4 linked regions of the Anolis sagrei genome follow. The protein of the gene in region 1 purifies or fractionates together with the protein of each later gene. This does not show direct contact. Links are inferred from orthologs where the notes say so. Each region holds a gene or a part of one and is shown on either strand. Other genes may lie near its edges.

Region 1 (8,174 bases):
CACAAGTCAAACACTTCCCAAGCTTCTAGGACTGGGTTATTATTATTATTATTATTATTATTAATAATAATAGTGGGATACCTGTATAGATACATGATTACTTTTTATTTTTGTTATGTTCACATTCAATCAATTTACCTGTTCTGAACTTATGACCAAACTCTGATTCAGGTGGTTTTAGCTTGGTTGGTATAGTTGACCTCGCTGGCGTTATTGGCTGCATATTTTAATTAATTATTTCATATGAAAGTTACTGTTGTTTATATAATTTATGTGTGATGTTGGCTATGTTGGATTGTTTTCCACATGCAACACTTTGAAAAACAAGCCCTGGAAACAACAACAAAAACGCCCACTATGTGGTTCAGATATGTGAATGACACCTTCACCACTTGGAGCCATGGAGAAGAAGAACTAAACAGGTTCCTGGACCACCTTAACAGCATCCACCGAAACATCCAATTCATCATGGAAAAAGAAAATGAAGGAAAACTGCCTTTTCTAGATGTTCTCGTCATCCGCAAACCAGATCAACAATTGGTTCACAGAGTTTATAGAACACACGGATAGATACCTACATAAAAATTCCGATCATTACCCAAGTAAAAAAAAGAAGCACCATTAAAGCCCTGGCAGACTGTGCAAAAAGAATCTGCGAAAACCATCTCCTCCAAGACGAACAGAACCACCTAAACTGGGGTTTACAGGCCAATGGATACTCCACCACAGACATCAGAAGACCAAGAACAAGGCACGAGAGTAAAGGCAAAGATCCACCCAAAGGAACTATACATCAAGGGAACCACTGACCGCATAGGGAACCTGGTGAGAAAACACAAACTATCTACAGACCTACTAAGAAAATCCAACAAGTGCTACATTCAACAAAGGACAAAAGGGATCCTCTCACCTCTGCAGGAATCTACCGTATACCATGCAGATGTGGACAAGTGTACATAGGGACCACGAAATGCAGTGCCCAAACACAAATCAAGGAACATGAAAGGCACTACAAGCTAATTCGACCTGAGAAGTCAGCCACAGCAGAGCACCTGATGATCTAACCTGGACATAGCATATTATTTGAGAACACAGAAATGTTGGACCCCTAGTTGTTCAATGACACAGAGAAGTCATTGAAATCCACGAGCATGTGGACAATTTCAACAGAAAGGAAGAAACCATGAAAATGAACAAAATATGGCTACCGGTATTAAAAAAAAACTCTAAAATTATAACAGTAAATAAAGAACAACACACAAACACAGGGGAACTCCAGACAAGAAACAATCAGGAATCACCTCTCAATAAAGGATTCCCCCCAGGCAATAACAAGTCACATCTAAAAAAAATCCTGTTAGGCCATCAAATGCCAATCAAGGTGGCCAATTGAAACATTCACACCTAGCTCCAACAGCCAGGGATTCTTTCTCCCACCCTGGACATTACAGATATATAAATTCAATTTTCCTAGTTTACAACAGACCTCACAACCTCTGAAGATGCCTGCCATAGATGCAGGCGAAACATCAGGAGAGAATGCTTCTAGAACATGGCCATACAGCCCGAAAAACCTACAACAACCCAGTGATTCCAGCCAATAAATCCTTTGACAACACACTGCCAACACACTTTGACAACACTTTGACAACACACTTGGGGCGGGGGAGGGGGCAGGGGACTTCCATCTTGTCTCCTGCATATGTCATCAGTTGGGGACCCCTTCCCCCAGCGCTGACTGCTGCTCGGGGTCAAAGTGAGGAGAGAGGGGGCCAGGGGACAGTTCCATCTTGTCTCCTGCATGTCATCATTTGGGGACCCCTCGCCCAAGCACCGGCTGCCACTCTGGGTCAAAGTGAGGAGGGGGGGGCAGAGGACAGTTCCACCTTGTCTCCTCCTGCATATTCATCAGTTGGGGACCCCTCCCCCCAGCTCCAACTGCCGCTCTGGGCCAGAGTGAAGAGAGAGGGAGCCAGGGGACAGTTCCACCTTGTCTCCTGTGCTATGCTAATAATATAATATAATGTAATGTAATATATTGTATATACATATATTTATAATATTATAATGAACTGCAATATAATACTAATAATATAATTATATATTTATATTACATGTAATATTACTAATTATATTACAATATATTATAGCATAGTACAATATAGTAATATATAATACTGACATTGTACTATGCTAATAATATATTGTATGTATATATATCTTGTAAGCTGCTCTGCAGCCCCTTTGGGGTGAGAAGGGCGGCATATAAATAAAGTTTAAATAAATAAATCTTTTGTGAATCTGCCCTGAGTCCCCCCGGGGATAAAGACTGGAATATAAATAAAGTTTTTTATTATTGTTGTTATTGATATTATTGTTATTAAATTAAAAATTAAAATGTCCAAATCACAAATAGGAATGGTGGGACTCAGTTCTTGTGGGTTTTTTCGGGCTATATGGCCATGTTGTAGAGGCATTTCTCCTGACGTTTCGCCTGCATCTATGGCAAGCATCCTCAGAGGTGAGGTCTGCTGGAACTGGGAAAAAAGGGGGTTTATATATCTGTGGAATGATCAGGGTGAGACAAAGGGCTTTTGTAAGTTGGGCTAGGTGTGAATCTTTCAACTGACCACCTGATTAGCATACAATGGGCTGACTGTGCCTGGAGCAAACTCTTCTTGAAAGGTGATTAGATGTCCCTGCCTGTTTTTCTCTCTGCTGTTTTTGCTGTTGCAATTTTAGAATTTTTTAATACTGGTAGCCAGATTTTGTTCATTTTCATGGTTTCTTCCTTTCTGTTGAAATTGTCCACATGTTTGTGGATTTCAATGGCTTCTCTGTGTGGTCTGACATGGTGGTTGTGAGAGTGGTCCAGCATTTTTGTGTTCTCAAAATGCTGTGTCCAGGTTGGTTCATCAGGTGCTCTGCTATGGCTGATTTCTCTGGTTGGAGTAGTCTGCAGTGCCTTTCATGTTCCTGGATTCTTGTTTGGGCGCTGCGTTTGGTGGTCCCTATGTAGACTTGTCCACAGCTGTATGTTGTGTTTCCTCATCAGCTTCCCTATGCGGTCAGTGGTTCCCTTGATGTATGGCAGGAACACTTTTCCTCTGGGTGGATCTTCATCTTTACTCTCGTGGCTTGTTCTTGGTCTTGCAGCTCTTCTGATGTCTGAGGCGGAGTATCCATTGGCCTGGAGAGCCCAGTTGAGGTGGTTCAGTTCATCTTGGAGGAGGTGGGGTTCACAGATTCTTTTTGCACGGTCTGCCAAGGCTTTAATGGTGCTTCTTTTTTGACTTGGGTGATGGTTGGAGTTTTTATGTAGATATCTATCTGTGTGTCTGGGTTTTCTGTAAACGGTGTGACCCAATTGTTGATCTGGTTTACGGATGACTAGGATATCTAGAAAAGGCAGTCTTCCTTCGTTTTCTTTTTCCATAGTGAACTGGATGTTCGGGTGGATGCTGTTAAGATGTTGGGAGTTGGAGGAATGGTGGGAGTTGAAGTTCAAAAACACCTGGAGGGCTCAAGTTTGCCCAGGCCTGGTATATAGGAATTTTAATTATGTTGAAACCTGCCTTCAAGAGGTGAGGCAGGCAACACATAAATAATAATAATGACGATAATAATAATAATAATAATAATGCGTTGTTGTTGTTGTCACTCTCCCAGTGGAGATGACTCTATGACTCTAAGACGACACCAAATTGGGAGGGATAGCCAATAGTCCAGAGGACAGGAGCAGAATTCAAAACGATCTTGACAGATTAGAGAGATGGGCCAAAACTAACAAAATGAAGTTCAACAGTGACAAATGCAAGATACTCCACTTTGGCAGAAAAAATGAAATGCAAAGATACAGAATGGGTGACACCTGGCTCGAGAGCAGTACGTGTGAAAAAGATCTTGGAGTCCTCGTGGAGAACAAGTTAAACATGAGCCAACAATGTGATGTGGCGGCAAAAAAAGCCAATGGGATTTTGGCCTGCATCAATAGGAGCATAGTGTCTAGATCTAGGGAAGTAATGCTACCCCTCTATTCTGCTTTGGTTAGACCACATCTGGAATATTGTGTCCAATTCTGGGCACCACAATTCAAGAGAGATATTGACAAGCTGGAATGTGTCCAGAGGAGGGCGACTAAAATGATCAAGGGTCTGGAGAACAAGCCCTATGAGGAGCGGCTTAGGGAACTGGGCATGTTTAGCCTGAAGAAGAGAAGGCTGAGAGGAGATATGATAGCCATGTATAAATATGTGAGAGGAAGCCACAGGGAGGAGGGAGCAAGCTTGTTTTCTGCTTCCTTGGAGACTAGGACGCAATGGAACAATGGCTTCAAACTACAAGAGAGGAGATTCCATCTGAACATTAGGAAGAACTTCCTGACTGTGAGAGCCCTTCAGCAGTGGAACTCTCTGCCCGGAAGTGTGGTGGAGGCTCCTTCTTTGGAAGGTTTTAAGCAGAGGCTGGATGGCCATTTGTCAGGGGTGATTTGAATGCAATATTCCTGCTTCTTGGCAGGGGGTTGGACTGGATGGCCCATGAGGTCTCTTCCAACTCTGTGATTCTATGATTCAGGCTTGTGGGCCCAGACAGGAACTTCAGGCGCAGGCAGCGCTGGGGGCGGGGCTTCTTCTGCCAAGAGGCCCCGCCCCTTTCCGGGGTCCTCGCGAGCGGCTGTTTGGCCTCGTCGCGAGCTCCGCCTCCCATTGGCTGCTGCGTCGCAGGAAGCAGCGAGAAAGAGAGCCATGATGGCGGCGGCCTGAGAGAGCGAGCGAGCGAGCGAGCGAGAGTGAGAGTGAACGGAGACCCCTCAGCCCGCAACCGCCGCCATGGCGGAAGACGCAGAGCTGGAGAGGTGGGTGAGGCCTGCGCGGAGGAAGGGGCAGGCCTGGCGGTTGCTGCTCCCTTGGCAGCCGAGGGATTTGGCCTTGACTGGGAACGCCAAGAAGGTCCTACTAGAGGCTTCCCAGCGGCCTTTAGTCGCCCGATCTTTAGGGCCTCGGTATCTTAAAGGGACCGCACCCCATTATTATGACTATTGCAGTATATTTATCCCATCAGGTCTTGGAAGCTAAGCAGGGTCTGACCACTTGCGAATGGTAGGTGCTGTTTCAGGAGGAAGGGATTCACACAACTATGAAGGTGTATCTAGAATGAGTGCGGTTTGACATCTCTTTAACTGCCAGGGAATCATAGGGGTTATAGTTTGCTGAGGTCCTAAGACAGTGGTTCTCAACCTGGGGGTCGGGACCCTGGAGGGGTCACTAAAGATCACCAGAAAACACAGTATTTTCTGTTGGTCATGGTGGTTCTATGTGGGAAGTTTGGCCCAATTCTGTCATTGGTGGGCTTCAGAATGCTCTTTGATTGCAGGTGAACTATAAATCCCAGCAACTACAACTCCCAAGATATCAAGGTCTATTTTCCCCAAATTCCACCAGTATTCACATCTGAGCATCTTGAGTATTCGTGCCAAGTTTAGTCCAGATCCCTCATTGTTTGAGTCCACAGTGCTCTCTGGATGTAGGCAAACTACAACTCCAAAACTCAAGTCAATGCCCACCAAAATCCTTCCAGTATTTTCTGTTGGTCACGGGAATTCTGTGTGCCAAGTTTGGATCAATTCCATCATTGGTGGAGTTCAGAATGCTCTTTGATTGTAGGTGAACTATAAATCCCAGCACCTACAACTCCCAAATGTCAAGGTCTATTTTCTCCGAAGTCCACAAGTGTTCACATTTAGGCATACTGAGTATTCTTGCCAAGTTTAGTCCAGATCCATCATTGTTTGAGTCCACAGTGCTCTCTGGATGTAGACGAACTACAACTCCAAAACTCAAGGTCAATGCCCACCAAACCCTTCCAGTATTTTCTGTTGGTCATGGGAGTTCTGTGTGCCAAGTAGAGTTCAGAATGCTCTTTTATTGCAAGTGAACTATAAATCCCAGCAACTACATCTCCCAAATGACAAAATCAACCGCCCAACCCCACCAGTTTTCAAATATGGGCGTATCGGGTATTTGTGCCAAATTTGGTCCAGTGAATGAAAATACACCCTGTGTATCAGATATTTACATGACGATTCATAACAGCAGCAAAATGACAGTTATGAAGTAGGAAGGAAAATAATTTTATGGTTGGGAGTCACCACCACATGAGGAACTGTATTAAGGGGTCGCGGCATGAGGAAGGTTGAGAACCACTGTCCTAAGAACTCTTTGGCAAAGAAGACCATGCAAAACCACAATAATAATAATAATAATAATATGATGATGATGATGATGATGATGTTGCAATCCCAGGTGACAGGATTGAAGAGAAACAACTGGAATAGCAGAAACTATATGAGGATTTAAAGATCGAACTGCAAAGACTCTTGCACAAGCCAGTAAAGGTGGTCCCAGTAGTGATCGGCACACTGGGTGCAGTGCCTAAAGACCTTATAATAATAATAATAATAATAATAACAATAACAATAACAATAATAACAATAATAAACTGGGGACTCGGGGCGGGTTACATGAGGCCAAGCCCAACAACATATTACAATAAAGTAAAACCAAAATACAATAATAACACAGTAAAATACATACAACATATGAGTTCAAAGACAATAAAGCAAAATCATACACCGTAAAATAAAATAACATAACAATGAGTGGGCCGCATGTGCAAGATAAAAACTTGATACTAAAAATACTAAAATCAGGATGAGATAGGGATAGAGTAGATTGTTCGTGGGGGAGAAACTTGTAAAGGAACAGGGTCATAAATATAGACCTTCATTCAGGTGTGGAAATATACTCTGGGGACAAAAACCATTGAGGGGAAGCAACTGTGTATGATAATATGGCTACTCTCCAAAAGCGCATTGGAAAAACCAGGTTTTGAGATCCTCCTTGAAAATTTCCTAATCTCACCGGGCAATGAGTTCCAGAGTCAGGGGGCCACAGAGGAGAAGGCTCTCGCCTTTGTACTTACAAGATGAGCCTGAGATAATTGCCTGGCCTGCGCTTAAATACTATTGGCGCTGACAAAATTACCATCTGCCAGCTGCAGAAGGCCACCTTACTGGGATCTGCACGCATTGTTCGCTGATACATCACACAGTCCTAGACACTTGGGAAGTGTCCGACATGTGATCCAATACAACAGCCGACAGAGTGATCTTGTTGTGTTTCAAATAATAATAATAATAATAATAATAATAATAATAATATAATGAACTTTATTTATACCCTGCCACCATCTCCCCAAAGGGGACTCAGGGTGGCTAACAAGTGGCCAAGCCCAAGAATTACAATCAAGCAAAATAAAATACAAACAAGCAAATAATAACAACAAAATAAAATGCAAAACAATAACAAAATATGCAATAAAACAATGCAAAATAAAATGGTAGAAAAATTAGCGCACAGTGGACGGGCCAAATTCAAAGGGTAAAATTTATAAAACCCTGGGTGAGATGGATAAATGGAGTAATGTGTCTGAAGGGAGACTCAGAAGGGGTGATCGCATTGAGCCATGGCAGTGTCAAACTGCATTAACTCAGTAGTGAAGATGATGATGATGATTATATATCTTTATTTTTGTCCTGCTTTTCTCCCTAATGGGACCCAAAGTAGCTCACAGCGTAGGTAAAGGTTTCCCCCTGACATTAAATCTAGTCATGTCCGACTCTGTGGTGTGATGTTCATCTCCATGTCTAAGCCAAAGATCCAGCATTGACTGTAGATGCCTCCAAGGCCATGTGGTTGGCATGACTGCATGGAGCGCCATTACCTTCCTGCCGGAGCGGTACCTATTGATCTACTCACATTTGCATGCTTTCAAACTGCTAGGTTGGCAGAAGCTGGGGCTAAGAGGGGGAGCTCATCCCGCTCCATGGATTCGAACTGCCGACCTTTTGGTCAGCAAGTTCAGCAGCTCAGCAATTTAACCTGCTGCACCACTGGGGGCTCAACATAATATAATGCAAATCACATTTAAGATAAAATACAAGACAAAAATCACACAAAGCATAATAATGGCCAGAAATAAGATAGAAATATATATTAAGCATATATATTAACCAATTACAGTTATTGTAGAGACTCATCAGTTAAATAGTATATTTTCACAATCAACCTTGCTGTCTTTAGCAATTGAATTCATTCATCAAAAGGTTGCTTGGA
Region 2 (7,290 bases), on another chromosome or scaffold:
GATTTCTGGGAATGGTAGGCCAAAACACCTGGGGACCCACAGGTTGAGAACCACTGGTTTAACCTATTACGCCACCGGGGGCTCCTTGAAGTACAATAATACTAATAATCCTCAAAATGACTATATTTGTGTCCAGGCTTCTCTCATGTCCCTGTATGGAGAGCTGGAGCTGACAGAGGGAGCTCATCCACGCTCTCCCCAGATTCAAACCTGCAACCTGTCAGTCTTCAGTCCTGCCAGCACAAGGGTTTAACCCATTGCACCACTGGGAGCTCCTTCACTATGAAAACACCTCCCCAAGTGCTACTGGGTTACTGATTGAAAGAGCATGTGTTGAGGGGACTTCCTGGTGGGAGGGGCTTAGCATAGCCTTGGTCTTCTATGGGGGGAGCGCTGGCCAAAGCCCACAGAGCTACGCTTGACCCAAAGCAACATTCTTAGCAGTCATAGAATTGGGGCTTCCTTCTCAGCTTGGCTTTCTGCGACCACCCTAACCCTCTACAACAACTTGGGATTCTGTATAAAAGTGTAAACAAGCAGTTACTACTCAAGCTTTATTACAAATCCAACAGATGATGCTTAATCCCTTGCACCCACCCTCTGGCCAGCACTGGTCAGGAAGGCTCCCAGCCCCGTTCAGGGAGAGGGACCTGGCCCTGCCCTCCAAACGGAGAAAGGCAGGCAGGCAGGTGCCTCTGGTCCCCTGGTTAGTACCTGGGCTTCAGGGGCTCATGGGAAGCCTCCCCTCGGATGCTCCTATAGTTCCCAAGAGGGCCTCTTTCCCTTCAAGGCCATGCAGAGGCTTGCCTGGGGACTCACTTCCGGATCTTTTTCACAAAGGTGACTTCATCCCGGTTGCGGATGCCATACCTGGGGAAAACGTTGTGCACATTAGGACTCCTCCTCTCCCAGGGACTCAGGCCCTCAGAAAGGCCCACAAAGAGGGTGGCAAGGCAAAGGGGGTGAAGGACTGCAGCCAGAAGCCTCGGGCACCTCCTTCCTCAGCACGTAGCACACCTGCCCCCCACCTGGCTGAGCCTGGTCCCACTGCAAGCAGGCCAGAGTATGGGCATGGGATCCACAAGGGGTACCAGGGCACCACAGACTCACTCTCTCAGCTTCTTCCGGTCGTCTGTCAGCTTCTCTCCACCGAAGGTCAGGCAGTAGGTGCGCCACAGGTATTTCCTGTCAGGTAGGGAGGAGAGGCTTAAGGACAAGGAGGAGGGGTGGAGCTGGCTCTGCCTGACCTTGCCCCCTCCCCTCTCCTGCCCCACGGAAGCAGGACCCACCAGCTGATGTGCTGGATGCCCCCCTCACGCTCCTGCCGCAGCTGCACAAACCGCCGGAGGGCCCTCTTCAGGTCCAGGATGCTGGCATTCTGCACCACCACCACCGCTGAAAGGAGAGAGGGAGTATTTAGTATTTATTTATTTCAAACACTTGTACCCCGCCCTTCTCAACCCCCGTAGGAGGACTCAGGGCGGCTTATAGCCAGCACAATTAGATGCCCCAACAAACGAGAATACATACAGTAATTACATATGAATGATACAGTGTGTAAAGTAAGTAAAACTGATAAGTGAGTAAAACTTTATTTCTATCCCACCCTATCTCCCCAAGGGGACTCAGGGCGGCTCACAACAAACAAGGCAGTTCAATGCCATAAAAAATACAACAAATTCAAGAAGACAATACAACACATTCAACAATCATACAAATCAAAACAGAAGCAATAATAATAATAATAATAATAATAATAATATAAATGCTCTGTGCATAATGAGTACCTTAAAAACAAAACAATCAATGAACGAAATCCACCAAATTTGGCAACAAAACATCTCACAACACAAGGAGTGACCGTCACTCAAAAATTATGATTTTGTCATTTGGGAGTTGTATTTGCTGGGATTTATAGTTCACCTACAATCAAAGAACATTCTGAACTTCATCAACGATGGAATTGAACCAAACTTGGCACACAGAATTCCCGTGACCAACAGAAAATACTGGAAGGGTTTGGTGGGCATTGACCTTGAGTTTGGGAGTTGTAGTTCACCTACATCCAGAGATCACTGTGGACCCAAACAATGATGGATCTGGACCAAACTTGGAACAAATATTCAGTATGCCCAAATGTGAACACTGGTGGAGTTTGGGGAAAATAGACCTTGACATTTGGGAGTTGTAGTCACTGGGATTCACAGTTCACCTATAATCAAAGAGCATTCGGAACCCCACAAATGACAGAATCGGGCCAAACTTCCCATACAGAACCCCCATGACCAACAGAAAATACTTAAGGCCATCCAAGGCCATTTTCCAGATCAACAGACTGGGCCACAGCAACGAGTGGCAGGGGACAGCTAGTAATATATATATATATATGCCAGCAATGACTTGAGGAACTGCAAGTCGCTTCTGGTGTGAGAGAATAGGCCGTCTACAAGGACGTTGCCCAAATGTTTTATCATCTTGTGGGAAGGTTCTTTCATGTCCCTGCATGGGAAGCTGGAGCTGACAGACGGGAGCTCACACCACTCCCTGGATTCGATCCACCGACCTTTCGGTCAGCAATCCTGCTAGCACAAGGGTTTAACCCAGAGGTCCTCAAACTTTTTAAATCTTAGGGCCAGGTCAAAGTCCCTCAAACTGTTGGCGGGCCGGATTATAATTTCATAGAATCATAGAATCAAAGAGTTGGAAGAGACCTCATGGGCCATCCGGTCCAACCCCCTGCCAAGAAGCAGGAATATTGCATTCAAAGCACCCCTGACAGATGGCCATCCAGCCTCTGTTTAAAAGCTTCCAAGAAGGAGCCTCCACCACACTCCGGGGCAGAGAGTTCCACTCAAGAACATGAATGAATTCCTACGCACAATGAACATATCTTATTTGTAGTGCAAAAAACACTTAAAAACAATACAGTAATTAAAATGAAGAACAATTTTAACAAATGTAATCTTATTCGTATTAAAATTTATTTTTATTTACAGTATTTATATACTGCCTTTCTCACCCAGCCCTGGGGGGACTTCAATGGGAAGTGTGGGCCTGCTTTTGGCTGATGAGATAGGATTGCTGTTGTTATTGTGTGCTTTCAACACGTTTCAGACTGAGGTTGACCCTGAGCGAGAGCCAGGTAAATAACCTTGGAGGGCCGTATCTGGCTCCCTGGCGTTAGTCTGAGGACCCCTGGTTTAACCCATTGCACTGCCGACAGCTCTAATAACAAGTTAAAACAATATCAATAAAACAAGGGCTCAGGGTCGGGAGAAAAAACTCTTGTCTGTTTCAGGCAGTAAGCAGCCAGACCTTGAAACTGCACGGCCATTAAATGCTAATCAAGGTGGCCAATTGCAACCTTCCCACCTGCCTGAAACAGACAAGAGTTTTTTCTCCCACCCTGGGCATTATTCCACAGATATATAATCCCCATTTTCCTAGTTTTCCAACAGACCTCCCCACCTCTGAGGATGCTTGCCATAGATGTGGGCGAAACGTCAGGAGAAATTGTACTATACCATTATATTGTAATAATATTAGTAATATTACATATAAAATATATTAAATATATAATAATAACAGTAGTAGTATGTTATAGGAGGGAAGGAGGAGAGAGCAGGAGAGGCGCCTCACTATTTGGGCCACTAGGCCCCGCCCACAGAGGGCCTCACCATTTGGGCCATTAGACCCCGCCCACGCCTCTGAGGCCCCGCCCACGCCTCTAGGCCCCGCCCACAGAGGGCATTACTATTTGGGCCATTAGACCCCGCCCACGCCACTGAGGCCCCGGACACACATCTAGACCCCCGCCCACAGAGGGCTTCACTATTTGGGCCACTAGACCCCGCCCACGCCTCTAGGCCCCGCCCACGCCTCTAGGCCCCGCCCACAGAGGGCGTCACTATTTGGTCCACTAGGCCTCGCCCACACCCCTGAGGCCCCGTCCACGCCTCTAGGCCCCGCCCACAGAGGGCATTACTATTTGGGCCATTAGACCCCGCCCACGCCTCTGAGGCCCTGCCCACGCCCCTAGGCCCCGCCCACAGAGGGGCCCCACTATTTGGGCGATTAGACCCCGCCCACGCCTCTGAGGCCCCGCCCACGCCTCTGAGCCCCGCCCACAGAGGCGCCTCACTATTTGGGCCACTAGGCCCCGCCCACGCCTCTCCTGGCACTTACGCATTGGTGCCTCGGGGGCGTCGGCTCTGCGCACGCGCACTGTCATGGCTTGCCCGTACTCCAGCGCCACTTGCGAGCTGATCTCCTCGGGGGTCACCTGGGAGATAGGGAGAGAGGGAGCGGGTGAATGACAGGCCCATGTCCCGCCCTTCATCGTATGCCCCGCCCCTTTATTATCAGGCTCCGCCCCTTCTATGTTGCCCACAAACAATGCCCCGCCCCCTTCTCTGTAGGCCACGCCTCCCGCCCAGTGCCCAGCCCACCTGAACTGGGAGGTCACAGAGCAGCGGGTCCTGGACCAGTCGGGCGAGTCCTTCCTGCCAGAGCTCCAGCACGTCCGCGTGTGCTTCCTCCTCCTCCTCTTCCTCCTCCATCACGCTTCCGGTTTGTGAGGGGAGAGCGGAAACGGAAGGTGAGGAGAGAGGATGCTGCTGTTCTGCCCGGCCTGCGGGAACGTCCTGGTGGCCGAAGAGGGGCCGCGCTGCCACCGCTTCGCCTGCACTACGTGCCCCTACGTCCGCAACGTCACGCGCAAGGCACGTCAAGGGGCGGGGCCGCTCCCTCTCTCCTTCCCTCCCTCCTCCTCCTCGGCCTTCGCTCACCTTTCCCCCCCTCTTTCCGTTGCTAGGTAACAAGCCGGCGCTACCCGAAGCTGAAGGAAGTGGACGACGTGCTGGGCGGGGCCGCGGCCTGGGAGAACGTGGACTCCACGGCAGGTGCGTCACCGAAAGGGGCGGGGCCTGGGAGAGCGAGGGGGCGGGGCTAGGGTTAGCAAGTTTAGTAGCTCAGTGGTTTAACCCACTGTGCCACCATTGGCTCCATTAATAATGATAATAATAAGGATAAGATATTAATGATTGAAGAGGAACAACTGGAAAAGCTGACACAATATGATTTAAAGATTAAACTCTGGTACAAGCAAATCCAGGTGGTCTCAGTGATCGGCACACTGGGTGCAGTGCCTAAGACCTTGGCCTGCACTTAAACACAATCGGTGCTGACAAAATTACTATCTGCCAGCTGTAAAAAAGCCACCCTACCTCTGAGGATGCTTGCCATAGATGCAGGTGAAACATCAGGAGAAAATGCTTCTAGAAAATGGACATATAGCCCAAAAAAACCTACAACAACCCAATTAATAATAATAATAGAACTGCAAAGACTCTGGCACAAACCAGTCAAGGTGGTCCCAATGGTGATCGGCACACTGGGTGCAGTGCTTAAAGACCTTGGCCTGTACTTAAACACAATTGGGCTGACAAAATTACCATCTGCCAGCTGCAAAAGGCCACCCTACTTGGATCTGCACGCATTATTCGCTGATACATCACACAGTCCTGGACACTTGGGAAGTGTCGACGTGTGATCCAATAAAACAGCCAGCAGAGTATTTGCTGTGGACTCATCTTATTGTATTTCTAATAATAATAATAATAATATAATTTTATATTTACAATAATTCCTTCCTTGCCCCACAGAGCCCTGTCCCAAGTGTGAGCACCCGCGCGCCTTCTTCATGCAGCTCCAGACGCGCTCTGCCGACGAACCCATGACAACCTTCTACAAGTGCTGCAGTCCCCAATGTGGGCACCGATGGCGGGACTGAGGGCGCAGGGTTCAGGTGGGGCCAGGGCCTCCAACCCTTCCTACCTCTAAGCCAGTGGTTCCTAACCTGTGTTCCGTGGACCACCAGTGGTTCGCAAGAACTAAAATATGTTCCACGGCCTCACTGTTACTGCAACATTGCAATGAGAGCTAATGGTCGTGAAACCCTCTTATAGTGCCGATACTTATTAAATATGGTTTTCTGTGAGCAAGCAGATGGCGACTACTGGATGGCATACGTTCTGTATCAGAAATTAGAGCTGATGTGGTCTATCCAATGCAATTATCTGAATCAGCACCCCAAATAAACAAACCGAACCTAATGTTGACCAAAAACTGATTCGTAACCCTTTTGGTACTAATGTTGGAGAGTGGTCCCTAGTCAAAGTGGTCCCTAGTCAAATAAAGTTTGGGAACTATTGCTCCGGGCTGAGGAATTTGGGGCTTTGAGGGCCTGAGGCTGGGATGGGGGCTGCAGCATGCTCAACACAGGAAATAATAATAATAACAACAATAATCTTTATTTATACACTATGGGTGTATTGTTGTTGTGTTCGGGCATTGAATATTTGCCTTTTATGTTTGGAATCTGCCCTGAGTCCCTCTGGGGAGATAGGGCAGAATATAAACAAAATATTGTGTCAGTATCATCTTTATTTATATAAAGACACCACATCTGGAAGACTATCATCCTCGAGCTATGAGGGATGGCCTAAGTATTTATATTCCACCCTATCTCCCTGAAGGGACTTAGGGTGAATTCCAAACATAAAAAGCAAATATTCACCAGGTATTGACACTTGATGCCACAGCAACATTATAGGAGAAGGGACTCTGTAAAAGAGACACTCTTGCTTTATTTACAAAATAGGAGGTGGCTTCCAAGGGATCAGGGCCCCCCAGCCGAGCCCCATTTGTTCCAGTTGGTCTCGTAGGGGAATACTCTCCCCATCTTGAGGGCAGCTTCCAGGCAGGGTTCATAAAAGGGGGCCTCTTCCTCCTCTTCGCTCAGCCTGCGGGGAGCCCATGGGGGATTCTCCTCCTCTGGGGCAGGGGCCGAGAAGAGGGAGACCGGCCGCTGGGGGGCCAGGCAGCGCCTCCGGATGCAGCCCAGTGACTCCAGTCCCTGCAGAGAGAGGGAGGGAGGGGGAGAAAGCCATTTTGGGGGTCTTGAATAGAATAGGAATAACTTTATTGTCATTGTACATCGTACAATAAAATTAAATGCCACCCCAATGCTCATTATATATGTAGAATTACAAAACATCCATCCTTACACATTTTAATCACTATTGCACAGCCCTAAATGCCACATATCAGTGTAAAAACATAGAGCCCAATATAGTCTCAGCTCCAGGATAAAAGCTCTCTCTCAGCCTATTTGTCCTTGTTTTTATCATCACATCCCATCTGCCAGATGGTAATAATTCAAAAAGAGATAATAATATCTAGGGTTAGATGGATCCTTAATAATGTTTTGAGCTTTTTAAAGGCAGCAGG
Region 3 (7,900 bases), on another chromosome or scaffold:
CTCTCTGCGGAGGTCATCCACCAAGGCGACCAAGGCTGTCTCAGTGCCATGACCAGGCCTGAAACCAGACTGTGACTGATCTAGGTAGTTGGTATCGACTAGGAAACCCTGGAGCTGAGAGGCGACCACCCTCTCCAGCACTTTACCCAAAAAGGGGAGGTTGGAGATCGGCCTGTAGTTATTCAGCACCGTGGAGTCAAGGGAAGCTTTTTTGATAAGTGGGCGAACCACGGCCTGCTTCAAATTAGATGGAAAAATTCCTTGCTCCAACGATGCATTGATAATCGGTACAAACCAGTCAAGCAACCCCCCTCTGGCTGATTTAATGAGCCAAGATGGGCATGGGTCAAGAGATGAGGTGGTCGCTCTCACAGCCCCAAGAATCTCCTCCACGGTTTCAGGAAGAACAAGCCTAAAAGAATCCCACAAGGTTGGACAAGCAGGTGCCTCCGTCACCTCTCCTGGCACTGCGATGGAATTGGAGTCGAGCTCAAGACGTATCTGGGCGACTTTACCTGCAAAATGGTGTGCGAAATCGCGACACCGAGCTGCAGGGTCATCAGCGACCTCCTCCACCGCAGGTGGGTGGAGGAGTTCTCCCACGACCCGAAACAGCTCCGATGATCTATTTGCTGCAGATGCTATACGAGCGGTCGTGAATGATTTCCTGGCCACCCGTATAGCCACGGAGTATGCCTTAAGAGAGGCTCTAGCCCGTGTTCGATCAGACACATCTCGAGATTTCCTCCATTTGCGCTCTAGCCCCCTTCTCGTATGCTTCATCACAGCCAGCTCCTCGGTGAACCAAGGAGATGGCCTGTCACGACGCAACGAGATGGGGCGTTCAGGTGCGATCGTATCTAACGCCCTGGCCATCTCCCCATTATAGAGAGTTACCAAGGCGTCGATAGAATCGCCAGACTCCAAGGCAGGAAGAACCCTAAGATTCCTCAGGAATCCGTCCGGATCCATCAGTCTCCTAGGGCGGACCATCTTAATTTGTCCTCCACCCCTGCGGAGGTTTAGGGTCGCAGTAAGTCTAAATGTGATCAGGTGATGGTCAGACCATGACACTGGAAGGATGTTTTGATCTTCCACTCTGATCATTTCGTTGTCCGCCACAAAAACAAGGTCAAGAGTGTGTCCAGCTTGATGAGTGGGGCCAGATATTATCTGTGACAGCTTTGTAGCCATTTAGATGGTTCTGGGTAGCCCTCTCACTATTACTCACTCATTCATCTGGTTCTCTCACCGCCAGCTGTTAGGAATTGTGGGAGTTGAAATCCAAAAACACCTGAAGGGCCCAAGTTGGCCCATGTATAGTGCAGATGCACCCTAAGTGAGGCCATTGAGGAGAACTCTCCAGGGTGCTGAATTCTTGGACCCTTACAATGGCACAGGCTGCAGACTCTGGAAATATTGTGCATTAAGCATCCATTGAGTCCCCTTGGGGAGATAGAGCGGTATATAAATAAAGTTTTATTATTATTATTAAGCTCTGGCCTGGTCCATGAGGTCATGAAGAATTGGAAGCAACTGCACGAATTGTAGGGGCAAAAAATATATATATGGGGAGGACGAGGAAGGACTTCACAAAAGCTGAATCTTTAAACTGCAAAAAACAAAAACAAACTATTTATTGCTTGGCTATAGCAATAATGACAAAACATGCATTCAGGAATGCAATCAAAGGGTTTGTTGCAACCCCCAATGGGGCTGTAGAGCTTTTATCATTTTTAGCATACATATTCTAATTGGTTCCCAAAGACAAATAATGTCATGGGTCTAAGCTAGCTGTACAGTTGCTCATTGGTGGTTTATGATTTTGATTGACATTATAGCACACGTGGGATCCTAACAATGGCCCAACTATAGTCTATTGTTCTCAGAACATGACTGTCTTAATAAATCAGTCTTATCTGTTAGTCTGTTGCAAACATGGCTCCAGAGCGACTGGGAAACTTGGGGGTTCAAACTAGCCACCAGCTAGTCGGTTTTGTCCGGATGTACTGTTATCCTTGAAAAGTAACTTCCTCTTTGCAGCACTGATTTCTCAAACAATCAGCATTTCTGTAAACAGATCCCAGTAAGGTGGTCTTCTGCAGCTGGCAGCTGGTAATTTTGTCAGCGCTGATTGTGTTTAAGTACAGGCCAATAGGCACTGCACCCAGTGTGCCAAGGTCTTTAGATACTGCACCCAGTGTGCCGATCACCACTGGGACCACCTTGGCTGCCTTGTGCCAGAGTCTTTGCAGTTCGATTTTTAAATCCTCATATTGTGTCAGCTTTTCCAGTTGTTTCTCTTCAATCTGGCTGTCACCTGGGATTGCAACATCAACAATCCATACTTTGTGTTTTAACACAATCGTAATTATTATTATTATTATTAAGAGCACGTTGGTTTTCTTGATGTTCAATGATCACTGTCTCCTAAAGCAGTTACTCTACTCCCAACTCAAGAAGGGAAACATAATGTTGGTGAACAGGAAAAGAGATTTAAAGATGGGCTTAAAGCCAACCTTAAAAACTGTGGCATAGACACAGAGAACTGGGAAGCCCTGGCCCTTGAGCGCTCTAACTGGAGGTCAGCTGTGACCATCAGTAATGCGGAATTCAAAGAGGCACAAATGGAGGGCGAAAGGGAAAAACGTACCAAGAGGAAGGTGCTTCAAGTCAACGCCTTCCCTCGAAACCGATGTCCTCACTGTGGGAGAACATGTGGATCAGGAATAGGGCTCCATGGTCACCTATGGAACCACCAACAAGACACTACACTTGGAGGGCCATCATCCTCGGGCTATGAGGGATCGCCTAAGTAAATAAGTTCAAACATCAAGAAAGGAGATTCCATCTGAACATTAGGAAGAACTTCCTGACTGTGAGAGCCGTTCAGCAGTAGAACTCTCTGCCTCAGAGTGTGGTAGAGGCTCCTTCTTTGGAAGCTTTGAAACAGAGGCTGGATGGCCATCTGTCGGGGCTGCTTTGAATGCGATTTTCACAATACACTTGGAAGTCCATCATCCTCGGGCTACGAGGGATCGCCTAAGTAAGTAAGTTCAAACTTCAAGAAAGGAGATTCCATCTGAACATTAGGAAGAACTTCCTGACTGTGAGAGCCGTTCAGCAGTAGAACTCTCTGCCTCAGAGTGTGGTAGAGGCTCCTTCTTTGGAAGCTTTGAAACAGAGGCTGGATGGCCATCTGTCGGGGCTGCTTTGAATGCGATTTTCACAATACACTTGGAAGTCCATCATCCTCGGGCTACGAGGGATCGCCTAAGTAAGTAAGTTCAAACTTCAAGAAAGGAGATTCCATCTGAACATTAGGAAGAACTTCCTGACTGTGAGAGCTGTTCAGCAGTGGAACTCTCTGCTTCAGAGTGTGGTAGAGGCTCCTTCTTTGGAGGCTTTTAAACAGGGGCTGGATGGCCATCTGTCGGGGGTGCTTTGAATGCGATTTTCACAATACACTTGGAGGACCATCATCCTCGGGCTACGAGGGATCGCCTAAGTAAGTAAGTTCAAACTTCAAGAAAGGAGATTCCATCTGAACATGAGGAAGAACTTCCTGACTGTGAGAGCCGTTCAACAGTGGAACTCTCTGCCCCGGAGTGTGGTGAAGGCTCCTTCTTTGGAAGCTTTTAAACAGAGGCTGGATAGCCATCTGTCGGGGCTGCTTTGAATGCGATTTTCACAATACACTTGGAAGTCCATCATCCTCGGGCTATGAGGGATCGCCTAAGTAAGTAAGTTCAAACTTCAAGAAAGGAGATTCCATCTGAACATTAGGAAGAACTTCCTGACTGTGAGAGCTGTTCAGCAGTGGAACTCTCTGCCTCAGAGTGTGGTAGAGGCTCCTTCTTTGGAAGCTTTTAAACAGAGGCTGGATGGCCATCTATTGGGGGTGTTTTGAATGAGATTTTCCTACTTCTTGGCAGGGGGTTGGACTGGATGGCCCATGAGGTCTCTTCCAACTCTATGATTCTAAGTGAGCTCCCTCACACACCTCCCTCTCTTGTGAGGGAAGCAGCTAGTGCCTACAGAGCCCTCAATACAGATAAGAGATTTCCGGAAGTGATCAGCGCACGGCATGCCGGGAGTGGGCGGTTCTGTTTATGCACCGGGGAAGGTGGAAACTGCGGAGGCTGATTGGCTGTTAAGAGTTCGAAGCATGGACTCAGAGTTCCTGATTGGCTGTTACAGTTCCTGGTTGGCTGTTCCGGTTCCTGATTGGCTCTTGGAGTTCTTGGCTTGGCTCTGAGAGTCCGAAGCATGGAGGCCGCGTGCAAGTGGCGAGGGTTGCCCGGCGCCCCGAGTTTGAAGCCCTTGACGGCGCCGGAGCGCGGCCTTCCTCGAGAGAAGCAGCGGCAAGCCCTGCAGGATGTCACCCGGGCCCACGTGGAGTCCTTCGACTTCGCCACCGGGGATGGGCTGCTCCGGGCCGTGCAGGTGAAAGGAAGGAAGGAACGGGGGGAAAAAGGGAGGCCTGGCCTGGCCTGTGGGTGCAGGTTGCTGCCAACCCCACTGAGGCTGGGCCTACACTGGCCTATATCCTGGATTATCTGCTTATCCCAGGTTATCTGGCGGTGTAGAGCAGACCTAGGCAAACTTGGGCCTTCCAGGTGTTTTGCACTTCAAATGATTTTCTTACAAGGTTCTTGTGGGTTTTTTTCGGGCTATAGAGCCATATTCTAGAGGCATATTTTCTCCTGACGTTTCGCCTGCATCTATGGCAAGCATCCTCAGAGGTAGTGAGGTCTGTTGGAAATAGGAAAATGGGTTTATATATCTGTGGAATGGCTGGGGTGGGGCAAAGAGCTCTTCCCTGCTGGAGCTAGGTGTGAATGTTTCAACTGACCACCTTCATTAGCATTTGAAGGCCTGGCTGAGCCTGGGAAAATCTTTTGTTGAGAGGTGTTAAGATGTGCCTGGTTGTTTCCTCTCTGCTGTTTTGCTGTTGTAATTTTAGAGTTTTTTAATACTGGTAGCCAGATTTTGTTCATTTTCATGGTCTCTTCCTTTCTGTTGAAACTGCCCCATCCCAGCCATTCCACAGATATATAAACCCATTTTCCTATTTCCAACAGACCACAGTACCTCTGAGGATGCTTGCCATAGATGCAGGCGAAACGTCAGGAGAAATGCCTCTAGAACATGGCCCTACAGCCCGAAAAAACCCACAAGAACCTAGTGATTCCAGCCATGAAAGCCTTCGACAATACAATTTTCTTACAATCTATCCAGAGATATGATGACATGTCCTTAGAACTGCAACATCAATGTCTTATTTTATTTATCTACTAGCCCTTCCCTGCCACGCGTTGCTGTGGCCCAGTCTGTGTATATGTGTTTTGTGTGTGTATATATTTGTGCATATGTGTATATATGTGTGTTTGTCTATATATGTGGTTCTGCGCATGTGTGCAGTGGCCCAGTCTGTGTGTTTTGTGTGTGTATATATTCGCATTTATTTATTTATTTATTTACAGCTTTTATATTTATGAACCCACGCGTGCACTTCGTTCATCTGGTGAGGCCCTGCTCGTGATTCCGCCTGCGTCACAAGCGCGGCTGGTGGGGACACGAGACAGGGCCTTTTCTGTGGTGGCCCCCCCGACTCTGGAACACCCTCCCAAAAGATCTTAGACAGGCCCCTACATTGGCAGTCTTTAGAAAGAACTTGAAGACCTGGCTGTTCCGATGTGCCTTTCCAGAATAGGAAATCTCCAATAACAAGTCCTCGAAGCACTTTTAGTAGAATTAAGATTATTGCACACCGCACACTGCACTTGCCCTATAATCCTCGTATACCACCTGCCACATCAGCACTTTTAATCTTGTACCCATTACTCTGGCCCGGCCCAGTTTTTATTGTGTCATGATATACTGTCTATTGCATGTCGTTAATATTACTTTTACTGTTTTTAATTTTGCTTTTGGTGTTATATTGTTTGTGTTGTGTTTTGTGGCCTTGGCCTTTGTAAACCGCATCGAGTCCTTCGGGAGATACTAACGGGGTACAAATAAAGTTAATAATAATATCCCGGATTATCTGCTTATCCCAGGTTATCTGGCGGTGTAGAGCAGGCCTGGGCAAACTTGGGCCTTCCAGATTTCTTACAATCTACCCAGAGATGTGATGACCTGTTCTTATGACTGCAACATCAATGTCTTACTTTATTTATCTACTGATTAGAATATTAGAATCATAGAGTTGGAAGGGACCTCGTGGGCCATCCAGTCCAACCCCCTGCCAAGAAGCAGGAAATCGCGTTCAAAGCACCCCCAACAGTTCAAAGCATCCCCAACAGATGGCCATTGTACTATACTAATAATTTAATATATTGTATGTATATGTATATCTTGTAAGTCGCTCTGAGTCCCCTTCGGGGTGAGAAGGGTGGCATAGAAATGTCATAAATAAATAAATAAATACACTATAGGAAATTCCATCACACAGGATTACACAATTTATTATTTCGGTTTCTTCTACCCCGCCCTTCTCACCCCGAAGGGGACTCAGGGCGGCTTACAAAGGCACAATTCGATGCCAACATCACATAACAGTAGTAAAACAAAATAACATCAATTAAACAGTTGAAACAGTCAAACAATTCCTGCATTACAGCCCTAAAACCAATAAAACGATACAAACCTAATTACTCCTCATAGACGGTCAGCGTTCACTATCTCATAGCCCAAATTCCAATTCCACATTGTCAGTCCTAGTCATTTGATTGTCCTTATCTAGTTGTCAAATTGCCCAAAGGCCTGGTCCCACAACCATGTCTTTACTTTCCTCTTGAAGGAGAGGAGGGATGTTGATGCCCTAATTTCTCCCGGGAGCGAGTTCCACAGGTGAGGGGCCATCACCGAGAAGGCCCTGCTCCTCATCCCCACCAGCCTCACTTGTGATAGCGGTGGGGTCGAGAGCAGGGCCTCCCCAGATGATCTCAGACTCTGGGGTGGGACGTAGAGGGAGATACGTTCGGACAGATACACTGGACCGGAACCGTACAGAACATTCTCTGCAGGTTTTTTTTTCAAACTTCCAACTTCAAAACATATGTTGGTATATTCCTGGAGTTATTTGGGGCACTGATTCAGAAAGTTGAATTGGAGAGCTCTAGTTTCTTACATATGGTCATCATTATTTTCTCTTGGCAAGCGGATGAAGAGTGGCAGATGGCATGTTCTGTATCGCAAAAGCTAGAGCTAATAGGGGGAAATTGGTGCCATTTTTAGAATCAACAGGACAGATATACCCAGAAACTGGTCTAACATTTGAGGCACCAAAATGTATGTTGAGCAATGTATGTTGAGTCGCCTGAGGGCTGAGAAAAGCGGTATATAAATGAAGTAAATAAATAAATAAAATTATATCTGGAGTTCTTGCTTGCTCAGCCACACCGAGATTCCTCTGCAATGCATTCCTGCAGGGGAATTTTGGGTAGATGTTCCAGCATACCCTCCATTTTTATTTAAAGCAGGTATGGGCAAACTTCGACCCTCCGTGTGTTTTAAGCACTCAGGGGGAAAAGGAAAGGGCCTGAGGCTGTTAGGAATTGTGGGAGTTGAAGTCTAAAACACTTAGAGGGCCCAAATTGGCCTAGGGCTGTTCTAAATGAATTGGATCTCATCCTATGACAAGGAAATGAGCCCTTCCAGCTTATTGTTTCGACTGCTGCTAGATTTCTAAATCATTCTCTTCATCCAGTGAACCTTCCTTCCTTCCTTCTAGGCCATTCCGCCTTTGGAGTTTGCTTGCAAGAACACACGGATCACTTTGGCCATTACCAGCGCCGTTATCAGCCCTCCAATGGTTCCCAAGGGGACGATATGCAAAGAGCTGAAGGTTTACCCAGCCGAATGCAGAGGACGCAGATGCACCTATCGTGGGAAA
Region 4 (8,290 bases), on another chromosome or scaffold:
ACTAGATACAAGTCGAGTATCTCTTAAATCCTAATAAATCCAAAATGCTCTAAAATTGTCCACATGGGTGATTGAGGTAGTTACATTTTTATTCTGGTGATTCAATGTGCACAAACTTTGTTTCATGCACAAAATCAGTTAAAATATTGTGTATAAAATTACTTTCAGACTATGAGTGCAAAGTGTTTTTGAAATATAAATGCATATGTGTTAAAATTTGATTCACATCTCCAAAAGAATTCATTATATGCAAATATTCCTGAATCCAAAATTCAAAACACTTCTGGTTCCACAAATGTCAGATACAGAATATTCAATTTGTATAACTAAACTGTTTTGTTTTTAAAGCCTGCTTTAAAAAGGCTTAGCTATCACACACAATAGTAAATCAGTTAACTTCAAGCACTCAGTGATTAGATTTTTCAGTGTAGTTGTACTCATCAATGGAGATGCTGTATTATACTCATTAGAAATATATTTTTTCTTTGTCTACATACCACAAGTTTTCTTCCAGCTTGAGGCTGAAAGACTACAAAACTTGCTTCAATGTCCAGATGGATAGCCCCAATGTCATCTATTATATCTCCCAGTTCTTTGGTTATTTTGATATCATCATACGCCACAGGGACACCTTGGAAACTGCAAGAAATAAAGAAAGCTATCAACACATACACTGAAAAACAATGAATGATTTCCAGAGTAAAAGAGATCAAATCCTATTTACAGAATGTTTGCACAGATAAGATTGCCTGGCCCTCTTCTGAGTGTCATGTAGAAACAAGAACAGGTACTTTTGATTACAGAATTCATGTATGTGTGTGCGCGCATATGTAACTACAGAGAGACCTAGCTGTGGAGTTTATAAGGGGAAAAAAGTTCAGATATGAGTAGCATTGGGTTCTTGTAGGTTCTTTTGGGCTATAGGGCCATGTTCTAGAGGCATTTCTCCTGACGTTTCGCCTGCATCTATGGCAAGCATCCTCAGAGGTAGTGAGGTCTGTTGGAAATAGGAAAATGGGTTCATATATCTGTGGAATGACTGGGGTGGGGCAAAGAGCTCTCTGCTGAAGCTAGGTGTGAATGTTTCAGCTGACCACCTTCATTAGCATATGAGTAGCATTGTTTACCAGAATTACTTAAAATGATATAGAGACGATTTCAGCTATGAGTTAAAGGGTCCTACCCTTGAGGATCTTTCCTAAAGAAGTGATACAATACCATATATCTCTCCAAGTCACATCATCCATCATCACCTTTCGCAATGGTCCCTATGTGTGTGCATGCCTTCAAATCTTCTGTCAATATATGCCTATATCCATGTAATAATAATGTTGTTGTTCATTCGTTCAGTCGTCTCCGACTCTTCGTGACCTCATGGACCAGCCCACGCCAGAGCTCCCTGTTGGCCGTCACCACCCCCAGCTCCTTCAAGGTCAGTCCAGTCACTTCAAGGATGCCATCCATCTATCTTGCCCTTGGTCGGCCCCTCTTCCTTTTACCTTCTACTTTCCCCAGCATAATTGTCTTCTCTAGGCTTTGCAATAATAATAATAATAATAATAATAATAACAACAACACTTTATTTATATTGCATCCTTCTCACCCCGAAGGGGACTCTGGGCAGATGACAGCACATATACACGGCAAACATTCAATGCTGCTCTGTACAGACAATACACAGTCAGAACAGAAGGAGGTGGTTTGTTTCGATGCAGTGTCCAGCTGTTTTTGGTGCCATGGAAGGTTGGACTGGAGTCCAGGGATACTGTTGCTCTATCCTCTAAGACGAAAAGCCGTCACAACTTCCTCCTTCCTTTTTGGTCGCCAACATTTTCTGATCTTCTTTATGGTGTCATAACCACCACCACCACCACTTTTAGCGGTACCTAATTTCTCTAATTACAGCTAAAGCTGTTTTCGAATTGCTTAGGTAAGCAATGAGCTAGGCTGACCGTCGGCAGCTCACACTGACCTGGGGCTTCAAACTTGCACTCTTTCAGTTGATAGATCCTATAATTGCTGGTGATTTACCAGCTGTGCTAAACCTCTGGCCCTTAGGTCTGACAATGCTTTGCTTCCAAGATCAGACGAGACCTGTCGCTTTCAAGGTAATGTCCTACTCATGACTTAATTTCCCACACAGCCATATTACTCAGAATATCAAGGCAGGAAATCCCACATTATCTGCTTTGAACTGGACTAGATGGCAGTGTGGACTCAGATATTCTAATTCAAAGCAGATATTGTGGGAGATTTTGTGCCTTGATATTCTGGGTTATACGGCTGTGTGGAAGAGCCCCAAGTAGAACTGTCTGCATTTAGATCCAGTCTATGGGGTCTTTTATAAACATGTATTTTATAAATATTCATCCGGAGAGGCCCTGCTCGTGATTCCACCTGCGTCACAGGCGCGTTTGGTGGGGACGCATGACAGGGCCTTTTCTGTGGTGGCCCCCCAACTCTGGAACACCCTCCCCAAAGATCTTAGACAGGCCCCTACATTGGCAGTCTTTAGAAAGAACTTGAAGACCTGGCTGTTCCGACGTGCCTTTCCAGAATAGGAAACTCCAATAACAAGTCCCAGAAGCACTTTATTAGAACTAAGATTGCTGCACACCGCACACTGCACTTGCCCTACAATCCTTACATATCACCTGTCACATCAGCACTTTTAACCTTGTAAACATTACTCTGGCCTGGCCCAGTTTTATAGTGTCTTGATGTATTATTTATCACTTGTTGTTTAATATTGCTTTAACTGTTTTTAATTTGCTTTAGGTGTTGTATTGTTATGTTGTGTTTTGAGGCCTTGGCCTTTGTAAGCCGCATCGAGTCCTTCGGGAGATGCTAGCGGGGTACAAATAAAGTTAATAATAATAATAATGTCTATGTGATATAAGCACTAAATGATATACAAGCAGCCCCCAACTTACAAACATAATTAAGAACAGGGGCAAGACAACAGTGAGGGAAAAGTACCCCTAGGAAGGAAAATTCACTCCTGAAAGGGTTATCATGGCAAAAAGGTGCCTCCACTGAAACTTTATCTAAAAAATTGGACTTAGGCCAGATAGGAGAAAAGTTGGGCCCTCCGGGTGTTTTGGACTGCAACTCCCACCATTCCTAACAGCCTCAGGCCCTTTCCTTTTCCCCCTGAGGCTGTTAGGAATGGTGGGAGTTGCAGTCCAAAACACCTGGAGGGCCCAAGTTTGCCTCTGCCTGCTATAAAGTGTTTAAATTTTCCAAGACCAGCCTTGAGGCCTCTGTGTGGGGATTAAGAGAGGCCTCCACGACAGCGCCGCCCGGGCCCTGACCTCTCGGAGAAGCGGCGCAGCTCGGCGTCCAACTGGAGGCAGATCCCAGTCCGCTTCCGGTGGAGGAAGCGCGGCGGGAGGGCGACGTGCCTCCGATGAGGCATGACCACCAGGCAGGAGTAGCGACTCTCCGTCAGCGCCCGCGCCGCCTCGAAAGAGGGCAGCTGGGCGCCGAAGGGAGGAAGCGCCGCCGGAACTGGGACCGCGCCTTCGTCGTCTGTCTCCGCCGCCATCGCGCCTTCTGCGACGAATGTCTTCGGGGATCACTCCCCCTTCCCCGCACGAGGCGCCTCTCGCGCTCCCTCCCGTCGCCCTGTGATGACGCTGACGCAGTCGACACAAGCGTCAGGCCTCCCTCCAGACTGGGAGACAGCCCTAAGCGGAAGTGGTTCTGCCTCTCTTCCGGTGAGGGTGATGCGGCCGCCATCTTGGGAGTGGCTTGGCTCCTTTCGCTCCGCCCACTTCTAGGAGGAAAAGGGTATAGCTGTGTGGAAGGTTGCAAAGATCTCAAATACGCCTTAAACATCCCTGATCTGAAAGGCTTCAGACAAGAAGTGTTTGGGATTTTCCCCCTCCCTCCACCCAGATTTGGAATATCTTTATTTGTATACACAGTAGACTCTCAGGGCCCTTCCACACAGCCATATAACCCAGAATACTTACTTAGGCGATCCCTCCTTGGACGAGTAGGATAGTCTTCCAGGATCAGTATTCTTGTGGATCCCTAGGTGACTGTGGAGCCCTATTCTTGACCTCCATCTTCTCCCACAGTGAGGGCATTGGTTTACAGGTGGAAGGCGGTCTCACTTGGGGTTGGCTTGACGCGCCTTCCTCTTGGCACATTTCTCTCTTTCACTCTCCATTGTGCCTCTTCAAATTCTGCAGCACTGCTGGTCACAGCTGACCTCCAGCTGGAGCGCTCAAAGGCCAGGGCTTCCCAGTTCTCAGTGTCTATGCCAGAGTTTTTGAGGTTGGCTTTGAGCCCATCTTTAAATATCTTTTCCTGTCCTCCAACATTCCGTTTTCCCTTCTTGAGTTCGGAGTAGAGCAACTGCTTTGGGAGACGGTGGTCAGGCATCCGGACAACGTGGCCAGTCCAGCAGAGTTGATGGCAAAGGGCCATCACTTCGGTGCTGGTGGTCTTTGCTTCTTCCAGCACGCTGACGTTTGTCCGCTTGTCTTCCCAAGAGATTTGCAGGATTTTTCGGAGGCAGCACAGATGGCAGGCAGTGGGGCTGAAATTCCCAAAGGCCACCCCCCCCCCCAAAAAAAAATTTCATGGTGCTCCGTGAGAAGGCCTTACTGGTACATTATTTAAACTGTTATGTTTACTCATATCATGATCTGATCACCATACTCAATATATCCCATATGCATGGGGCTATTGGTATAACGAGACAAAAGGTTTGCAAGGGTAGATCTTCAGCCCCCCCCCCCCTTGAATCAAACTCAGCCCCTCATACAGCTGTGTGGAAGAGGCCTAAATCCAGTTCAATGCAGTTAATTGGCATCCTGAAACTGGATTATATGGCGGTGTAGATCCAGCCAAAACAGTTTGAATCTCCAAGACCCAAAAGGCATCCAGGCAGTTTCACAAAAGTCACTTTTCTTCTTCTTAGGCCTCTTCCACACAGCTGAATAAAATCCCACATTTCTGCTTTTTGCTGGGTTATATGGCAGTGTGGGCTCAGATAGCCCTTCCAGACAAGCCCTATATCCCAGGGTCTGATCTCGGGTTTTCTGCTTTAAACTGGATTATATGAGTCCGGACTGCCAGAAAACAGAAAATCTGGGATCAGATCCTGGGATATAGAGCCTGTCTGGAAGGGCTCTCAGTTCAAAGCAGATATTGTGGGATTTTCTGCCTTGATATTCTGGGTTACATGGCTGTGTGTATGGTCTTTATTTTCTTATACTTATTTATATCCTGCTTTTTCTCACCATATGGAGACTCAAAGCAGTTCACGACTAAAAGCATTGCAATACAACTTAAAATAGACAAATGTACAAGTATTAAAACAGTATTAAACATAATTAAAAGCATACAAAATCACAGCAGCCCCTGATGAGCTTAAAACCCTTCCTCTTTAAAAGCCTGCCTGAATAAAACGGTTTTAACCTGAGGCCTGAAGGACAGCAGGGAGGGATCCATTCTGGCTTCCCTGTGCAGGGAGTTCCAGAGTCGAGACGCAGCCACCGAGAAGGCCTTCACTCTTGTTCCCACCAACTGCGCTTGAATGGAGGTGGGACCAAGAGAAGGGCCTCTCCTGAAGATCTCAGTGCCAGGGCAGGTTTGTACAAAGGGATGTGGTCAGCCAAATAGCCTGGACCTGAGCCGTCTAGGACTTTAAAGGTCATAACCAGCACTTTGAATTGTGCCGGAAACAGATGATAAAAATATGATTTTTATTTTGATGGTCTTTAGTACATTTTGGGAGTTGCTGAGGCTCAGGCATGTAGCCGGGGGGGGGGGGGGCTTCAACCCCCCCGAAATTCTCATGGTGGTCTGCAAGAAGGCCTTACTGGTACATGCTCAATATATCCCATATGCATGGAGGTATTGGGGTAACAATACAAAAGATTTGCTAGGGTAAACCCTCTTTCACTCAGACTCACCCCCCCCCCCCCCCGCCCCAAAAAAATTCAAAATCCTGGCTACGGGTTGGTGAAGTTGGATCTACATTGCCATAGAATCACTGAGTTCAAAGAGACCTCATGGGCATCCAATCCAACCCCATTCTGCCATGCAGAAAAAGCACAATCAAAGCACCCACAACATATGGCCATCCAGCCTCTGTTTAAAAGCCTCCAAAGAAGGAACTTCCACCACAGAATGGTCAGTGTAAACTCATATAATGCAATAATAGAGTTAAACTGCATTATATGAATCTACACAATTGAACTGCACGCTATGGCAGTGTAAATGGGTTCAAGGTTATCTTTCCTCTTTCCTCTATGTTTTGCTATTCATTGATGTTTAAGTGAAGGCTTCTGGAAGCAACTAGTGTTTACCTTGTCAGTCGTAGGCAAGCTCATACAATTCCAATAGTAGAAATGGGAGAACTATTCTATTTTTTCCAGCTCAGGCTTCATTGCATTGTTTACTACAGACATGCTCTTGCAACTCAATGTTTCTCCAGCTCTTCTTCAGCATCCTCCTAATGTTGGTGCTCCTAAAAGGTATCTAGCTGGACAGAGGACAAGGAGGAGAAGCATTCCAGGCGGTTATAAAAAGTCTTAGAAAAAATGGAGTCTCAGGGCCCTTCCACACAGCCATATAACCCAGAATATCAAGACAGGAAATCCCACAATATCTGTTTTGAACTGGGTTATCTGAGTCCATACTGCCAAATATTTCAGTTCAAAGCAGATAATGTGGGATTTTATTCAGCTGTGTGGAACAGGCCTCACTATCAGAAACATTTAGTTTTATGTACAGGCAAACCAAAAGTGGTAATGAATAATAAAAGTAAATTTAGGAAGTAGTCACCAGGTGGCACAATTGAGCTTTGAATATATAAGCAATGTTTAACCCAAGTAAAATAGTGTAAAGGGATTCATTCCCCAAAGTTTAATATGAAAACAAACACATCATTATTCAAAATGTTTGCGCAAAGTTTGGTCTTAACTGCTCCTATTAATCTTAACAGTGTTCGCTGTTGCGACCTAAACAGTTTTGAGAGAAACTTGCATTCCTTTCCATTTGTTTTTGGCTGTTCTTCATATTACCTTTTGAGACTCTAGTGTTGGGCATTTCCAGTAGTTCTTCCTTAAGCTTTCATGGTGTCCCCAAATTATTTAACTTTAGAGCAAGGGGTACCTTTTGCCTTTCAGTTCTTTGGGAATACATATCCCCAAATCTCTCACAATCTGCTGTCTTGATTAAGGCTGGTGATATTGGTGTAAAATAGAGATTAAAGATTCCGCTGTATGTTGATATGTTATAGGGAGGCTGGCCACCTCCATTTTGACAATAGTTGTCTCTTCCCATAGCCTGCATTGTTTACTAATATCTGTCATTTGTGTTATGCAAGTAATTCTGTAACCACAATATTATGTGCCCAGATGTTACGGTTATATACAGTGCCAGACCCTGAGACGTCCTCCAACAAGAAATCCTAAAAACATTCCGTCCTGGTCACATAGACCTCAGATAAGGATTACCGCATATGCCTTAGAAATCACTCTATAAAATACTGACACTTGAAATAAACTTTATCTCGGCTGCGAGTAGCTTGGACAGAAGCTGTGCTGGGGCTCGGTACATTCTTTGGCCAAAGTTGTTGTTTGTTGTTGAATCTCCGTTTCAGATCCCATCTGAGCTTTGTGTCTCACCTGGAGAAGACCCATTGGGCTGATGTTTCAAATCTTACTTAAAAAGTGTAAGTAGGCTAAACATCTAGAGATCCAAGGCAAGTATATTCCAAAGTATAGTGTCAGCCTTATTATTCTTTATCTAAAATTATTATTATTATTATTATTATTATTATTATTATTATTTTGCATTAGGATTTGGCCCCATGTACTGAATTGTAGCCCCCTTAACCAGTTTTTGCCCTCGTTATTTTTGAGGAATGGTTGCTACCATTGGCTACATTTGAAGAATGTACCTTGTCAAGCCATAACAAGGATCTGTGTTCCTTCCTTTCAGAATGGAGATAGAGGCAATTTTGCCCTGTTAAGGATGGGCCACCACCAGATGAAGAATACCCTGCTGATACACAATTTTATTCAGATTTATTTACAGGAAATATGCTTTTATACCTTCTACTGATTAAGGGGGCATTTTTCCACACAAGCACAAGATGGTTTATACCCAAGGCACAACTCCCCCCACCCCCTAAAAAACTGGAAGTAAAATATTTATTATGTAAAACAATTTTGTGTTCTAAGAAGAAGTCACAGATTGCATCACTAGATGAATCATTCTTATTCTAAACATATGGCTATTATTAACAGATAATGTTGTTCTCTCC

Evidence for each region. Proteins that work in one complex are often made in the same cells at the same time.
Region 2: the proteins of POLR1D (region 1) and POLR3K purify together in Homo sapiens (affinity purification with mass spectrometry; 3 studies listed by BioGRID and IntAct, with this or other methods). This does not show direct contact. The link is inferred for Anolis sagrei from reciprocal best matches to the Homo sapiens genes POLR1D and POLR3K.
Region 3: the proteins of POLR1D (region 1) and POLR1B purify together in Homo sapiens (affinity purification with mass spectrometry; 5 studies listed by BioGRID and IntAct, with this or other methods). This does not show direct contact. The link is inferred for Anolis sagrei from reciprocal best matches to the Homo sapiens genes POLR1D and POLR1B.
Region 4: the proteins of POLR1D (region 1) and POLR1F purify together in Homo sapiens (affinity purification with mass spectrometry; 3 studies listed by BioGRID and IntAct, counting the BioPlex papers as one, with this or other methods). This does not show direct contact. The link is inferred for Anolis sagrei from reciprocal best matches to the Homo sapiens genes POLR1D and POLR1F.

The regions. Positions count from the first base shown.
Region 1 is NC_090023.1:31,193,387-31,201,560, forward strand, and holds the start of POLR1D (protein POLR1D), read left to right. Parts: upstream 1-4,672; 5' UTR 4,673-4,829; coding exon 4,830-4,855; intron 4,856-8,174.
Region 2 is NC_090035.1:14,606,921-14,614,210, reverse strand, and holds POLR3K (DNA-directed RNA polymerase III subunit RPC10), read left to right. Parts: upstream 1-4,610; coding exon 4,611-4,721; intron 4,722-4,813; coding exon 4,814-4,901; intron 4,902-5,663; coding exon 5,664-5,791; 3' UTR 5,792-6,113; downstream 6,114-7,290. Other genes in the region: SNRNP25 (U11/U12 small nuclear ribonucleoprotein 25 kDa protein), read right to left, coding at 816-870, 1,111-1,185, 1,290-1,395, 4,186-4,282, 4,449-4,559; general transcription factor 3C polypeptide 1, read right to left, coding at 6,680-6,916. UniProt on the Homo sapiens protein: Core component of RNA polymerase III (Pol III) which synthesizes small non-coding RNAs using the four ribonucleoside triphosphates as substrates. Can mediate Pol I proofreading of the nascent RNA transcript.
Region 3 is NC_090021.1:24,391,654-24,399,553, forward strand, and holds the start of POLR1B (DNA-directed RNA polymerase I subunit RPA2), read left to right. Parts: upstream 1-4,223; 5' UTR 4,224-4,269; coding exon 4,270-4,446; intron 4,447-7,738; coding exon 7,739-7,900. UniProt on the Homo sapiens protein: Catalytic core component of RNA polymerase I (Pol I), a DNA-dependent RNA polymerase which synthesizes ribosomal RNA precursors using the four ribonucleoside triphosphates as substrates.
Region 4 is NC_090026.1:94,694,641-94,702,930, reverse strand, and holds the start of POLR1F (DNA-directed RNA polymerase I subunit RPA43), read right to left. Parts: upstream 3,678-8,290; 5' UTR 3,548-3,677; coding exon 3,315-3,547; intron 640-3,314; coding exon 498-639; intron 1-497. UniProt on the Homo sapiens protein: Component of RNA polymerase I (Pol I), a DNA-dependent RNA polymerase which synthesizes ribosomal RNA precursors using the four ribonucleoside triphosphates as substrates.